Linked DNA regions of Caenorhabditis elegans. The protein of the gene in region 2 purifies or fractionates together with the protein of the main gene of each other region. This does not show direct contact. Each region holds a gene or a part of one and is shown on either strand. Other genes may lie near its edges.

Region 1 (7,969 bases), on a different chromosome or scaffold from region 2:
ACGAATAATGCGATTGATCTAGTAGAAGGTCATTGGCATGCAGCTGATGAATCGGATCACGATAATTTGAAGGCATCGGATGAGGAGAATGAACAGAAAAGTGCAGCAGCAAGAAAATCAAAGAGTGAGAAGAAGAAGGATTCTTGTGAGAGGTCAAGCGCTGAAACATCTTCTTGCACCGAACAGACCTCTTCGCCAATGTCAGAAGCTAGTTCATCTGATGGGAGAAAGAAACCGAAGAAGGCTGGGAAATCAGCTGAGAGAAAGGAAAAATCCGCAGAAAGGAATCCGTCGAGTGAAAAGGATGATGATGGTGCAACGGAGGCGATGATTGGTGTCGAAAGACGTTCAACTCCTTCCGATGTTGTCAAGAATAAAAAAGGTCGAGCGAAAGGTGATCCGGAGAAACAGAAGCAGGATAGAAAGGAGAACAAAACTGAAGAAGAGAAGAGTGTAAGTATTATGGATCCATCTCGAGACGTAAATAGAGAATGCCGCAGTTTGAAAGCAAAGTGCGTGCAATTGCGCTCCACGACAATATGAAACTATTTATTGGCGGCAAATCCGGAAATTCAAATTTTTAGTAGAAAATTTTAATTTACGTTTTTGACGCCAATACCTAACGATATATAAATTCCGGTGAGCAGAGTTTTCATTGGAGCGCAATCGTACCAACTTTGATTTCAAAACTATAGTTTCTGCGTCGCGATAATATAAACGAGTCTTTGAAAATTTATAATTTTCAGAAATTATCTGAACCACCGAAGCCGAAGCCGGGAAGAGGAAAAAAGGTCAGCCGCGGACTGATCACCCGCGAGTTTTTGTTGGGAATGAGACATGATTTTACTGGTACACAGTCGGCAATGACAGGCTCATATGATTCTACGTCTGCCACATCGTTATCCACGTGGACTTCGTCTACGTGTGCAACTGATGAAGGAGAAGAGAAGAGGAAGTTCAAATGGAGTCTGAAGTCTGAAGAGGATTCTGAAGTTGAGTTTTTCGAAGACTTGGATCAAGAGGAAAGAGAACATTTTAGAAACTATGAGAATCTAGTTGCTCTTTCTGTTAAAGGTATTTTTTATTATTATTGTAATTGTTGGTCATACTCTTGTTATAGATGAAGTGGCCCTCTCGTCTGGATCTGAAGTCGAACCACTCTCTGATATTGATTCTGAGGAGAATCTGGCAATTATTAAAAGACTTGAGAAACGAGAGATGGAAATCGGTTGGGAAGTGTCAAGTGAGCGGGAGAAGACAACCGGCGATAGAAGCCCAGATGATCAACTCGATAAACTGGAAGCATACGAGAAGAAGTGAAAAAAGGAGAAAGATTAAAACTTCCATCGGAACTTGATCTATTACTTGAAATTGAAGATTTGAATAAACTGAACTTGTTTCTTAAATTTGTGAATACCTGAGTCGTCATTTTAGTGGCACAAACTCCGTCAAAGATAGTAGGCAGGCACATTGGCTAGATGTAGGCGATAAACTAGGCATTGAAACCTGTGGGAGGTGCATAGGTATACCTATAGGCATGCATTATGCACACAAGTCGGTAGACATTAAGATCGATGTTTGAGTACTTCTCTGTTATTGTTACCAGTCTGCCTACCGATACACTTGGGTACATCACATTTTCGCCTACCTACGAGCCTACATCTTGCTTTTCCCTACTTTTTCCTCTCACTGTACGTACTAAATAAAAAAAATGCTGACTTTCACATTAAAAAGCGTTCTTTGGGTGATCACCATGATACGGTAGTATGATTTTATTTTCATTTCAGTTCATTCACAGCTTTAAAATGATTGTAGTTAGTTATTTGAGATACATTGCCATAAAATAAAATAAAAATGCTCAATCTTCTTCCCAGAATTCGGCAGCATTGGCGACGGAGACTTCTGACATGCTGACTTCGGAAGAATCAATTGGATTGCATGATTTTTCTGAAATTTGTTGAATGAGGAATGGCAGAAAAGTGGACATGAAATGGTAGTACCTTCAGAAAGAACTTCAGCAAATGGTTCAAAGTCTTCTTCGTCTTTCAACTTCTTGAGAAGTTCATTGAACTCGTCACATTTTGAGTTTTCAACGAAAACTGAGCGAATAACATTCAATTCATTGACGAGAAGCTGTAAATTTAAAATTTAAAGTTTTATTTTGAAAATCTATTTTTGAAAATACCGTAAAGAACTCAGTAACTGCTCCATTTGGTTGAAATTTGCAAGTATTTGAAATCATTTCAAGAATTTTCGAGCAAACACGACTAGCTCCGCCATCTTCCATGATATCCATTTGAACTTCTTCTTTTCTCGTCAATTTCTTTGCATTTGGTTTTTTCTTTTTCTTTTGACTTGCACCATCATCTACCTCATCTGGTTGTGTCATATTCTGTTTTTTCTCCGTCCATTCGGATATCATTGTCTGCAGATCTTCAGGCTCTACCGTAACCCGTTCTCGTTTGGTTTTCTGAATTGGTTGCAGATTGAATTCGCGGCCAAGCTTCTGGAAAATCTCCGGATGTTCTGCTTCGACTCTGCGTTTCGGTGCCATTATTTGATCGAGAATTTGATTGGTTCGATTGGAATGATTTTCGAAGGTATCTGAAATGACAATAATATTATTTCATTTAAACCGAATTCACAAGAATATGTACCGTTTGGATGTAGAACTAAACTTTTGAGAAAATGGCATTGCATCTGCAATTTTGGATCACTCATTCCACCTTCGACCAGTGAAGAGCTGAAAACAATTTTTTATTGGACAATATTTTTCTGAAATTCAAACATTTCATCTTCTTGTAATTGCATACAATCGATAAGGTCATCTACAGCGGAGAGTTGAGCTACTGAAATTTAATTAGTTTTTTGTTAAATTCAAAAGTCTGAATGAATATATACCAGTAGGCTTATTCAAATCTTCATCTTCCTCGTCAAATGAGAATTTCGGGAATTTCAATGTTCTCATATCATCGGAAAATGGTAATTTCACTGATCTTAGATAGAAAACGCCAGTTTCTTCATCTTGATGTGGTAGAAGAGCAATGAGTTGCACATGAGATTTTGCATGGAATGTGTATCGACAAATGGCAGCGACTCGAAGTGAAAGCATTGCTTCGATGAGGGATACGGTAGCTTTGGTGGCACCTGATTTTGGTGAATTGAGAGCAGGAAGTACTGTTTTCGCGCTGGCATCGAGGAGATATGAGTCGAGAATCTAGAAATAATTATTACAATTATGAGATGCGAAATTTTGCGATTTATGAATGGCTATCTTTCTTTTGTTGTGATTTTGAACCAAAAAGTAAAAAAAACGTTATTTTTTTTTCAAAAATGCTAATTTTAGAAGAGAGGTAAGACACCGATTTTTTCGGAGAAATTTGTTTTTGGTCGGAATTATTATTGTGACAACTGGATCTGAAATGAGATTTTTTTGGTAAAATTTCGTGATTAGTTTTTCGGTTTTTTTCTCAAAAAAATGACCATGATTTGTCTATTTTAAAATACAAATTTCAAAATATCGTGTTATAACTGTGAAAAATCGATGAAATTTCAACGGAAACGAAATTTTGAAATTACAGTACTCTTTAAAGGCGCACACCCTTTTTTCGTCGCCTCTAATTTAACATTCTCCGTCGTTGCGAGACCATGTCATATCTTACATTTGCTCTTTTCGTGAACTGTATCAGTTTTAGCACTCCACCAGTCTGTCCCTCGTTGAAATTATGATCATTGTATTTTTCTTTAAGATATTCTGGGTCCATCATGATAACCGATTTTCCGAAATTGTAGCCTGACGCATTAATAATAGATTTTAAAAAATTTAGAATTTCACTACCATGCATAGTTTTTATATTTTCAACGGGTTTAAAGTTTTTCTGAAATTTCGGTTTCTCTTCCAGAACCGGCGATTTGAATTCATCTTTCGGAGCAACTTCGTCAGTTTCCACGTGCATTTGTTCCAATCGAACCATTTCATTTCCTTCGGAATCTGCATTTTTGAACTTGAGTAGTGCTGTAGATTTTTCAGATTTTAGAGCAAAAATCACCGGGAGATGGATTCCAGGAGCAATCTGAACGTTATTTTTATTGTATTAGATTAGATTTCTTCAAAAACTCTTACATCCCACATTTTATTGTATTTTCTCTCGGATTTCTGACGAGCCTGGAAGGTGGAGAGCATCTTTGCGACGTTTCTGGAAATTGTAATTATGATGATATTACTCCAGGCGCGAAATGTTATAGTATTTGCGCCGAAAATACGGTAGCCGGTCTTGACACGACAATTATTGTTAGATACAAACAAGCGTGTTCCTTTAAAGGGTACTGTTATTTTAAATTTTCGTTGTTGTGGAATTTTTAAAGATTTCTCAAATAATATTTATGTGTTTTTAAAAACCATTATTTCAGTTTTTTTTAACGAAAAATTATGGAAAATCGATGAACATTTCGCAAAAAGCGTGTCTAGATTCCGTATTTTTGGCGCAAAAATCGCCAATTTTATTTTTAAAAACTCACTGAAAAGTATATGTTCTTCCTTCTAATGTTTCTGCCAATTCTGCAACTCGAGAAGCAGGATATTCTGGATTTTCATCGATTCCACTGGAATAAGTATTTTTTTTTCAACGCTAAAATGGAAAAATCTTACATTATCATCAAATCTGCATTACTTTCACTAACGGCTTCAACTAAAAGATCGAAATTTTCTTGTCGAATGTTCTCGTTTAATCCATTTGTCAGTACAATCAACGTGATTCCTGATGGATTCGGATACGATTCGATTTGATCTTTTAGCACTGCGACGGCTCCCAGAACACCTTTGAAAACTGAAAAAAATAAATAGGATTTTTGAATTTGTCTTGGATATTCTCTCACAATTTGGATCTATCATTTCTGTATTTTGCTGCAATTCCTTTGTGATAAACTTTAAATGATCAAAGCTGGCTGGTGTAAACTTTTCATTTTGACACTGGACTCCATTAAATGTTTGACCGCCAACTTCTGTTTTGTATTCTTTCGGATCCAAATTGTAGGCCATCACTGAGAAGAGCTCGGGATCTTTGGAAAATAGCTGAAAACAATTTTTTCTTTGAAAGTTTTCTCGAATTTTAGTATCACTTTTCTCGAAACAATCCAATCTGCAGCATTGATCGCATTTTCAAATGCACTTTTTCCAGTTTCAGTGTCTTTCACAGACATATTGGATCCTGCGTCGATAAGGATTACGGTAATCCCGGGAGATACCTTTTTAGGCGGCATTCCTGTAACTTAATTTAAATTGGTGATGTTGAGAAGTTCATATGGAAATATTGCGAAACATGTGAATAAATAATGCGTGCGTTTTTCAAGACTGGCGCGGGTTTTGTACGCAAACACCAACTTTTTGCTGCAGCGAAAAATGAATTTTAAAACATTAAAATTAGAATATTAAAAGAAGATCATTTTAGATACTGCTGGAATATAGCTTTTATCGTTTTTTTTTTCAAATAAAATAAACCAAAACTGATTTTTAAACATTAAAAACCGCTCCCACAAATTCACGAACGTTCGTTCGAACCTCGCGCCGATTATTTTGCGCGTCGAATCTGGTGCACGCGGACAGTTCACCGTCACGCAAAAGTGCACACTCTCAGAGATTGATCACATTTTTCGGTCATTCGTTGTTTTTCGTGAAAATCAAAGTTTAAAAGGGATGTTTCGGGAATTTTTTGTTTGATTTTAAACATAAATTAAACGGTTCTTTCCGAAGTTGAAAGTTCTTCGGTTTTCCGATAACTTCCTCCTTTTCTTGCTTATTTTCAGTGTTGTGTTTGTGTTAAACGTTTTCCTCGTTGCCCGATTTGGTCTTTCGTAATTCTATTTTCTCTGTCAATAACTGACGTTAAATTACACGCTCTATATTTTCATGCGCTCTTCTGGTTCCTCGGTTGTATTTAAATCTTTCCAGAATGAGCGATACTCCAGAACAGGAGCAAGACTTCGAGCTGATCGACGGAGCTGAACGAAAATCCAGCACTTCAGATAGTTTTGAAGCTGTTGATGAAAAGAAAAATGGTATTTTACAAATATATGTTTTTTGTTTAGTGAATTAATAGTTTAGGTAGTCAATCTGTCAGTGAAAACGAGGATGACAATGCTGACAAATCGGCGAAAGAGGAAGATGATGAAGTTGAAGAGGAGATGAAGCTTCCATTCGTTGATCAGTCAATTAAAGACGACGCAAATCGGCCGAAAGAGAAAGACGGTGAGGACCTAGTAGAAGAGGCACTGAAAGCACCGATTCGACCCGATCAAGAACAATTCTACACAGCAGAGCATTCGAATAGAGCTATAACTCTGCTCATCGCATTTTCTGCAATGATGTTCACACTTCCACTGCTTGTTATGGCAAGCTTGTATTATTGGGTATTCATCGGTAAGTGGACTTTTCCAGAATCAATTTTATAGATAATTTGTTTCAGACCACTTCCATTTACCACCAGCAGAAGCCATGCTTTATGCCGGAGTATGTGCTGCCTTGGTCGTAATTCTCATTGCTGCCGCTTTCTGTTATATTGCATGGAAAGAAGAGAAAGACGCCGAAGACAAACTCAGAGCAGAGAAAAAGAAAGAATAGCGTGGCTGTGTATTATCTTCTTCAAAAATTCCTCCTGAACATTCACTTCCCGTTTGGACCTCGTTTACTTATTTGTGATCACTTCGACCCGTTCTATTTATATTAGTGCCTCTGGCTAGATGCTTTTGTACATAACGAATAAATTTTTTTTGTTATATTTTTTCCTTACTAATTGAATTTTTCTCTCTGAAGCGTAGTTTTCGCTTTACTATATTTTAATTTGAAATTGTCAAATTTTGTATCTCTTGATTTCCTTTACTTTTGGCGCCGCTGGATTCAACTCGGGATATCCGGGATTTTTTTTAATTAAAAAAAAACAAATTTTCGGTAAGATTCTCCCAGAAACCTTGGTATGAACCTATTCTCCCCTTAATAATCTTATTTTTTATTCCAATAATAATTATTTGATTTTAAACCCATGGATATACCGAGTTGTTTGCAGCGAAATGACCACTTCCTCTTCATCCGAACCATCAACAATGGCAACTCTGTTCCCGAACTTTCGTGATCAGGAAGTCCAATCCGCTGTCAAGAACCTTCTCACGTATAGTCTTGTGATTCTCATCGTTCCTCTTGCTTCTATGTTCCTCTTGAAACAATTCTTTTTCGAAGGTACAGAGCTTGTTCTACCGATTATTTTTAATTTTTGAAAAATGAATAAAATTCCATTTTCTCTCCTATTTCAGGGCTCCTGGGTGTCAGTGCAAACGACGCTTTGACCTATTCTGCGATCATTGCTGTCGTCCTCGTCCACGTGGTTTTGGGTATCTGGCTCTTCGCTGCTACCAAACAAGAAGATCGCAAGAAGCGTGAAAACAAGCAAGACTAGAAGACACAATGCAAACCGACATTCATGGTTCTCGGCAATTTTTTCTGTTTCACTTTCCCCAATCAATAATGCCTTATTTCTTGTATATTGATCAATCGAAATATTTAAATTTAAATTCTTTGACAAATTTCTTCAAGTCGGACTTAACCAATAAATTTAAGAAAATACACACTAAGTCTCCTGCCCGTTCTCTTTATCTTGTTTGCAGCATGAAAATAGCTCGTTTTCAGATGAACCAGTAAACTTGGGATTCGGAGTTCAATTCGAGCCAGATGATCTGTATCGTCTACGTTCGCAATTTCTTCCACTCGGAAAAATAGGAGGAAAACCGTCATGGTTGAATCCAAAAAATCTTCCAAAATCCGCAGATTTGTTGTGCAACGTAGGTTTTTTATAACAGAACTTTGAAACTGACCTAATTTTAGCTAAATCTTCAATTTTGCCAACTTTTCCGTATTGCAGCGTTCAGAAATTAATTTTATTTGATCATTGTTTTATTTTACTACAAAAATATGGAAAATAAA
Region 2 (8,617 bases):
ACTATTAGCGAAGGCCTGGGCTTCCGGTTTCTGTGAACCAAAAATCAGAAAAAAATAATTGTCAGGACTGTTAAAAGAGACATAACACTGTAAAAATTGAACTTTTGGTCGACAATCGGGGAATTGAAGGGTCTCACCACGAAAAATTGAATTTAGAAAATAATAAGACTATAACAAATTTGCTTCAACTTCCGACTAGATTGAGAAAGCCTTTCGGAACTTTTCGCTTCAAGACCCATCCTGATAGATTCATGGCTCTTTTATACCATTTGCGCGTGACGGTTTTGGATTAAAATATGATGAGGGGTCGAACAGGAACTCACGTGCTCATGTAAAGGTGGAGCAGCGCCAGCGGGGATTTTTTGTCCAAACTCATTTTTAATAAGCAAGTACAATTTAGAACTTTTAGAGCAATTTCGAACGCCCACACGTGGGTTAATACAAATATTTGAAAGCTTTATTAAAGTACGAAACTTTGTAGAAAAAAGTTTTTTTTTTCAGTTTCTGCCAAAACGAAGAGAGAAAGTTGAAAAGTACAAGTGCAAAGAAATTCAAAATTCATAGAAGAATGACACAAAAACTGACACTTATATAGAGGGTTCTCTGACAATTTTTGATCTTGACCATTTTTGATGTCTACGCGTAAACGCGCTCTAAGGCCAACGGAACGATCCGCCCCAGTAGGATGGGTCTCGTTAGGTAATATTAGGAAAACCGGGAATTCGAAATTCGAATGTTTAAATCATTTTTCGACGATTTTTTAAATATGTTTTACATTGGTTTTAGTAATTTTTATATGGGTCTTGATGTTTTAAAAATTCATATGAAGTTTTTGAATTTTATTATATCAATATTGGCATAAAAACCATTGAAACAACGGAAAATATAATAAAAAATAAACGAGACTATTAGGAAAAGTTTGAATTCCCGGTTTTCTCGCCAAACACCTAACGAGACCCATGGTTCCGGGGCGGGGCATTTCCAATTGGCCGTGGAGCGCGTTCTGCGTCCCCATAATATTGAGATCCAGTTCCTGTAGAGTTCGAAATTCTCTTGTTCCTGAGAGCGATAATATGAAAAAAAAACAAAAAAAAGTTTAAAAATGCTCATCGCATTCAAATATTCAAAGTCCTTCTCGTCCTTGTTGCCTAAATACTGATTGACTTGAGTCAGCAAGCAAAAAAAAAGAGAAAAGGAACATGATATACTGCTCTTCTGAGCCTAGTGGGCCGGAAGTGCTCATCGTTAATCTCTGCGAGCTTCTATGGAGACATTTTTGACAGAAAAAAGTGACACAAAAACTTCCAAGACACACAAAAATTTTGTCATTTCAAAAAGCTTCTATCAAAAAAGTTAGGGGAGAATGTGCGAGGAAAATCCGAATTTTCCAATTAAAAAAGCTAGAACAAAGGCACCTGTGAGCCCATTTTTGGGGGGAAGGCGAGCAGGAAAGAGTATCATATTACTACATCCATGAAACTCTAGGGAGAGGATTTGGTTTTTGATGGTGAGAGAGGGAAAACTTGGAAAATGAGATTCATTCAAATATGGGAATGTGAAACTGATAGTGAGAAACTGAAAATAATTGAGAAATCGTGAAGAAAAAACCGAGGGGGAAATGAGATTTTTGAAAAGGTACACAAAATTGGTATTACGGTAGATAAAGGTTTCAATTGATATATTTGAAAATGAAAATTATTGCCTTAAATATGAGCGTTCAGATGAGAGTAAGTGAAGATTGAGGTTTCAATTGAAGTAAAAAAAAATGGGATGAAGAAGCATCGACGGACGGACGGGGGGCGCAGAGTCAACAAATAAAACAATTGAAGGTAAATACATTGAGTCAAAAGGAGGCAGAGTGTGTTCATTTTTGAGGTCCTCCAGCAGTAGCAGCAGCTACTCGTCTTTCTTTTCGTCTAACGGCATGTTCTTCGATTCGAGAAATTCGGTCACTAATCGTAATTCGACAATGCCCGACAGCTGATCGTTTCCGTCATCACCACGGGTCCACCTGGAGAAATTTTGGAATTGAAATTGAAATATTTGAATAAGCAAACGACATCTGGTTGGAAGATGAGAATTTATCTATTTGGGGGGGGGGGGGGGATACTCACTTCAAAACCCGATGATCCTTGAATTCGACAAGTTGGGTTCGAAGAGCAGCGTCAGTTGAAGCAATGAAATCATCTCTGGAATTTTTAGGATTTTTTAAATCGAAAAACAAAAAAAATTATTTCAAAAAATTACCAATTTTGAAGTTTTTTCAGATTTTTTTCGGTTTTTTTGAACGAAAATTAGTGTTTTTGGGTTTTTTTTTCAAATTTTTTGGTTGTGCACAAAAAAAACCGAAAATCGAAAAATATTTCGGGGCATCCTTTGTGCAAGCTTGCAGGTTTTTCGGTTTGGCCTTTAAAAAATTGAAAAATCGAAAAAAATTAGATTTTTTTGTCGGTATTTTCAATTAAAAAAATTTCCCGCTCTGCCCAAAACCAAAAACATCAAAAATAATTAGTTTTTCAGTTTTTTTTGCTCAAAAACTCTAAAAATCAAAGTTTTTTAAAGGTTGCTATTATTTATGATTTTTTCGGTTTTTTAAACAAAGTTTCCGTTTTTTGGTTATGCTTAAAAAAGGGGAAAAATCGAATTTTTTTTTCAAATATTCCCAGTTTTGAATTTTTTGCTTTAAGAAAACTGAAAAATCGAAAAAATTTATTTTTTCCACTCACTTTGCCGCATTGAACAAATCCCAGAATTTGACAGGCTTCTTGGTGTCAAAGTACATTTGGAAAAAGAGACGGAATAATTTTTGTGAATTGACGGCAAGAGATTTCCAGAACACATCAAGCGATGACATTGTATGAGAGGATTGATTCGAACGAGCATCAAGACCAAGAAGACGAGAATCTCCAGTCATTAATTCTTGAAGTGGAATTTCGAAGGTGTTGATTGTGATGTGAACGAATGAGAGTGATGATAGTTGACGCTGAAATAAAAAAAGATAAATAACTGGAAATAACTTTTCTAATTTTTAAAATATTTTTGAACCTCTGGAATATTCAAATACAAATTATAAAAACACATTTAGAATAGAAAAATTACAATTTTTTTTGTTACATTTCTAAAATTATACCATGCCTTTATGAATAAAAAGTTTTTAATTCAAAATTATTTCAAAAAAGTTTATAATAAATATTTTTCATTTTAGAACCATATTTTTGGCATTAATAAAAATGTTTTTTAAGAATGTTTGTTTTTTCTAATTTTTCTTGTTTTTTTTTAAAGTAGAAAAAATTTGTTTGATTTTTCCGGAAAAATTGAGAATTTCAAAAGAAAATTGACTAAACATTTTTACAATATATTTTATTTTATTTGAAAGCTATTTTTCGGAAAATCTAAAAAAAAATCTAAAAATCGTTATTTTCAAAAATTTAATGTTTTTAGTGGGTTATAATTCGAGTAAATGCCATCAACTGTAGCGATTTTTTTAAAATTTTTTTGCCATAAATTTGACTGTTTTTCAAAATTGTTTTTTTTTCGATTTTTTGCCGTTTTCAGATTAAATATTAATTCGATTTTTTTAAGATTTTCTTATTTTCTCTTATTTTTCTCTCTGTCAAATTTTTATTATATTTATGAACAAAAAACATACTAAAATATATAAATTTCTACAGAAAAAAATAATTTTAAATAACAAAAAAATATAATTTTCTGTTTTTCGAAAATTAAAATTTTAGATACCCACCGAATTCCAGATGAACGTCGAGTAAATGTGATCAACTGTAGCAATCAATTTCACCGAATCCCGATTCTCAAGAAGTTCGCAAAATGCTTCTTGATCACTTCTGAAATTAATTAAAATTAATTTTTTATACATAAATAAAAGCGAATTCCCCTCACCTCCAATCAGGAGCTTCAATATTATCAATGATAAGAATCAACTGTTGGCTATTCATTTTTCTGCGAATAGATCGAGCCCAACTAATCGTAGATTGGCCTCTCTTCACATTACAATTCAGCTTCATATTCTCATTGATAGCTCCAAGAAGAACTTTTACATTGAGCCCATCTTTCCGTGCATCCACTCTCATATATGTATAATCGGATAGCTCATTCTCAAATTCTGTGAGAACATCACGCTTCGAACCGACACCGTGCAAAAGAATATTAAATCCAGCTGCTAGGTAAAGCTTCCATTTTCCGAAATCATTATCCGCGAGATGCTCCAATCGTTTTTCGAATTCCGTGTTATCTTTTTTGGTAATATAATTTCGAAGTCCAGGGAGATCACATTTTGTGAAATCAGTGATAGCATTACTGATCTCATCGTCTTCCTCAATTTCTTCAGTATTTCCATTTCCAGCACGTCTTCCACGACGGGATTTCGCATTATTCATTCGTTCTGACGCCGATTTTCCTTGCATAAAGTAATTTTCGATTGCTGATTGAGCCATTGATACAGTTTCATCCCTGGAAAAATGATTGATTTGCTTCGAAAATGTACTTATTTTTAGCTAGATGGAAGATTTTCTAATTTTTGCGCCAAAATTCCCGGTCTCGGCACGACAATTTTTTTTGAATTACAAACGGGTGTGCGCCTTTAAAGAGTACTGTAGTTTCAAACTGTGGAATTTTTATCGATTGTTCGTTAAAATTCATGCGCTTTTAATTATCCTAGTTTTTTGTTTATTTAAAAAAAATTTTAACAAAAAACAATGAAAAATCGATGGAAATTCCGCAACGAAATTTTGGCCTACCATTATTAAAGGCGCACCGAATCATTCAGATGAGTCTCGGCGCGCGAAAAACTTTTAAATTTTATGGTAGTTTTTTACTTTCATTTTTCAAGAAATTACTCCGTTTTTTGTATTTAGTTCTCCTTCTATTATTCTATTAAAAAACCGGAAAAATTTAAAGAAAAAGAAAATACTACGATACTGTTTTCCGCGCAGAGACCCGCCTGAATAGATCTGTGCGCCTTTAAGAACACATATTGTGATAATACAGCACTCCTTATAGACGCACCCCCGTTTTGTTTTCAACAAAAATTGCCGTGTCGAGACCCGGTTTTGCTCAAGAATTCATCTGGATAATAGATACATACTCGAAGCCCAGTTGTTCCAAATCTTCTTCTAAATTTGATTGCAAATTTCTAGAAGCATTCTCTTTTCCATTCGTCTTTTTCTGTCTGGATCCTTCTTTTTCTGGAGTCGATTTTTTCACAGGAACGGCGGCACTGGGCTGGACAGTTGCTCGTTTCAAAATTTTTGGCCGTGGCATTTTCTGAAATTAAAATTGAAAAATAGATATTTAGATTCATGCAGGAAATGTTAAGCTTTAAACTGAAAATATAGTTAGGCGTTAAGAAAACGAACCAAAAACTCAACAAAAACAGCACAAAATCAACAATTTTTACAATGAAAACACCATTTTATCCGAGGTTTATTCATTTTAATTCACAAAAGAGTATTGGAGAGATTATAAATATCACATTTTAAATTAAATAATTTATAGAATTCCATTTACTTGAGAAGAGACCATTTGAACTGCTCGTTGGCAGATTTCATGAACGAGAAGCCGATTTGTGATACGGATTGATCGGAGAATGAGACTTCGTCGGATTTGAGAGCGGTTCTTTGGACGACAGCCTGGGCGTCAGTTTCCATGATAATTCTGTAATAATTATTTTAAATCAGTTGAATACTTTTAGAAATAAAAAAAAATAACCCTTCATCACAGATTTCGTCAATAATCAGCATGATAGTGTCCATGGAATCGATGAGAGCCTTCTTCTCGACGTTTTTGCGAAGAACGACAGACACAGCATCGTAGAGACAGGTGAGAGTTGCGTCGAGGAAAAGCTCATTCTCGCGGGTCGATCCGAGCACGTAGAAGTACAGATCAACGTTCGAGCGGTACAAGCAAGTCACTCCGTCGAGAAGCAGGATATCGGCTTAAAATGTTTAATTTTTATTGTTTTCATCAAAAAAAAATCAGCCAAACCTGAAGTGTTGCGGGAAGTTTTCGAGAAGAGACTTTTCTCGAAAGCTTTTTGCTCCTTGACAGTTCCAAAGGTTGTACGGTCGTAGTACTGAAAATCGATATTTTTTCGAGTTTTTTGTATGGTAATTGTGAAATAAACGACAAACCTTGGCAAGAACACGGTTTCCATCCTGATCAAGAATCACAATTCCTTTGATACTGTACAGAGAAGTTGGATTCTGAAATTTCGCTTTTTAGTTAAAAAAAAAAAACTTCAATAATAAGCTGCAAATGAAACTTACAGTGTCAAAGTCTGCCATCTTATTGCAAATCCTCTCTTTTGCTAATATTACCTATAAAATTAAAAATTTATCTCTGAAAAACAATTTAAATGGAGGAAAAACATTGAGAAACAAGATAATCCACGTCAATAGTCAATGAAATTGAGCGCGTAAATCGACATGTGATCGTGGCGAGACCCGAGGTGGCTGGCGGCCGCCGGCCTAGGTTTTCGTGTAGATTTACGAGCCGATTTGTTTTCGCAATTTTTAACAATCGGCATTTTAATTAAGCTTAATAACTACATAAATGTAACTAGTATTTATTTGTATTATTTTCAGATAAAATGGGAAAAAAGCAACATCAGAAAGATAAACTCTATCTGACCACTTCTGAATGGAAATCGATTGGAGGACATAAAGATGGTTTTTATTTAAACACGAGTTATAAATAAAAACAAGATTTAATTTCATATTTCAGATACTGGAACAAGACTCCAAAGAGCACAGTTCAAAAGGTTACCCATCAACCATTGCTCGCTGTCACTTCTACCGTTTGAAGACCCAGTTTGCGCAAGATCAGGAGAAATTTTCGATTTAACGTAAATTTCTGTTTATTTTTTTTACTTTTTATTAAAAAATTTTCAGTGCTATCGTTCCTTACTTGAAGAAGCATGGCAAAAACCCGTGTACAGGAAAACCGTTGGTTGCCAAGGATCTAATCCACTTGAAATTCGATAAAGGAGAAGATGGAAAGTTCCGATGCCCAGTTACATTCAGAACATTCACGGACCACAGTCATATTCTGGCCATCGCTACTTCCGGAAACGTCTATTCTCATGAAGCCGTGCAAGAATTGAATTTAAAAAGAAATCATCTCAAGGATCTTCTAACCGATGTTCCGTTCACAAGAGCTGATATAATTGATCTTCAAGACCCAAATCATTTGGAAAAATTCAATATGGAGCAGTTTCTACACGTGAAGCTTGATTTAAAGACGTCAGAAGAGATTAAAAAAGAAAAAGATGCAATGAAAGATCCAAAATTCTACATTCGACGAATGAATAATGCTTGCAAATCAGTTCTTGATCAATTGGATAAGGAATATGTCCCAAAGAAGAGCTCCACAGAAACTGATGAAACTGCCGATGAGATCAATGCAGCACATTATAGTCAAGGAAAAGTCGCAGCTGGATTCACATCCACTGTAATGGCTCCAGTTACAAGCAATAAAGCAGCTGTTTTGGATAATGATACAGTTCGGTACAGCCGAGTTAAGAAAAATGCTTTTGTGCGGCTTGTTACAAATTTTGGGCCATTGAATCTGGAATTATTCGCGCCGAAAGTTCCGAAGGCCTGTGAAAACTTCATCACACATTGTTCGAATGGATATTATAATAACACCAAATTTCATCGGTTAATTAAAAACTTTATGGTAAATTTATTATAAAAATAGTTAAAGTTATAACAAAAAATAATTAAAAATTTCAGCTGCAAGGAGGCGACCCAACTGGTACAGGACATGGTGGAGAATCAATTTGGGATAAGCCATTCTCAGATGAATTCATCTCCGGTTTCTCCCATGATGCTCGAGGTGTGCTCTCGATGGCTAATAAGGGCTCTAACACCAACGGATCACAATTCTTCATTACATTCCGGCCGTGCAAGTATTTGGACAGAAAGCACACAATTTTTGGGAGACTTGTTGGAGGACAGGATACACTAACGACGATTGAAAAGTTGGAAACTGAAGAGGGAACTGATGTTCCGATGGTTTCAGTTGTTATTATGAGAGCTGAAGTATTTGTGGATCCATTTGAAGAAGCTGAGAAAGAAGTTCAAGCTGAGAGAGCAGAGATTTTGAAGAAAAGTTTCTTAATTCTATTACTAATTTTAAAACTAATGATATCTATTTTCAGCTTCTAAGGACGCAGCTTCATTAGCAAATAAAAAAGCTAAAGAAACTGCAACAAAACCAGAAGCAGTTGGAACTGGAGTCGGCAAGTACATGAAGTCGGCCGCAGCTGTGAATAAACGACAAGGAAAAATGGAAGATGTACCCTTGGAGGCCGCAAAGAAAACTAAATTTGCAAGAGCAGGCCTTGGAGATTTCTCAAAGTGGTGATGAAGACCCTCTCTTTTTTTTTAAATTTAAGGAATAAAATACTTTCATCGAAAATATAATTGAAATGAAAAGTAATCTTAAAGAGGATAATTTACATTGCAAAATACAAAACAGTCGAACGAGCACCTAGAACGAAAATGGTCCAGGAAAAGCTCAAGCTCTTCTCGGAAGGAACATCAAGGCATTTTGGTAATAAATTGTGGAAAAGCCATAGCACATACACTTTGGAGCGAGG

The links. The genes of interacting proteins can lie anywhere in the genome.
Region 1: the proteins of orc-2 (region 2) and cku-80 fractionate together in Caenorhabditis elegans (co-fractionation; one large-scale study listed by BioGRID). This does not show direct contact.

The regions. Positions count from the first base shown.
Region 1 is NC_003281.10:4,417,146-4,425,114, reverse strand, and holds cku-80 (ATP-dependent DNA helicase II subunit 2), read right to left. Parts: upstream 5,268-7,969; 5' UTR 5,260-5,267; coding exon 5,119-5,259; intron 5,072-5,118; coding exon 4,876-5,071; intron 4,827-4,875; coding exon 4,649-4,826; intron 4,603-4,648; coding exon 4,519-4,602; intron 4,197-4,518; coding exon 4,124-4,196; intron 4,074-4,123; coding exon 3,839-4,073; intron 3,794-3,838; coding exon 3,663-3,793; intron 3,218-3,662; coding exon 2,902-3,217; intron 2,850-2,901; coding exon 2,789-2,849; intron 2,744-2,788; coding exon 2,658-2,743; intron 2,605-2,657; coding exon 2,186-2,604; intron 2,134-2,185; coding exon 2,001-2,133; intron 1,948-2,000; coding exon 1,859-1,947; 3' UTR 1,740-1,858; downstream 1-1,739. Other genes in the region: C28A5.6 (Protein kinase domain-containing protein), read left to right, coding at 1-453, 747-1,074, 1,121-1,320; R07E5.7 (vacuolar ATPase assembly integral membrane protein VMA21), read left to right, coding at 5,949-6,054, 6,101-6,415, 6,462-6,616; R07E5.19 (Vacuolar ATPase assembly integral membrane protein VMA21 homolog), read left to right, coding at 7,063-7,228, 7,303-7,445; pdcd-2 (MYND-type domain-containing protein), read left to right, coding at 7,454-7,472, 7,676-7,827.
Region 2 is NC_003280.10:10,870,594-10,879,210, reverse strand, and holds orc-2 (Origin recognition complex subunit 2), read right to left. Parts: upstream 5,281-8,617; 5' UTR 5,278-5,280; coding exon 5,102-5,277; intron 4,468-5,101; coding exon 3,898-4,467; intron 3,843-3,897; coding exon 3,743-3,842; intron 2,984-3,742; coding exon 2,727-2,983; intron 2,190-2,726; coding exon 2,115-2,189; intron 2,012-2,114; coding exon 1,897-2,011; 3' UTR 1,277-1,896; downstream 1-1,276. Other genes in the region: copz-1 (putative coatomer subunit zeta), read right to left, coding at 5,520-5,670, 5,725-5,950, 6,001-6,088, 6,147-6,218, 6,282-6,299; cyn-4 (Peptidyl-prolyl cis-trans isomerase 4), read left to right, coding at 6,605-6,683, 6,739-6,859, 6,906-7,692, 7,749-8,127, 8,177-8,382.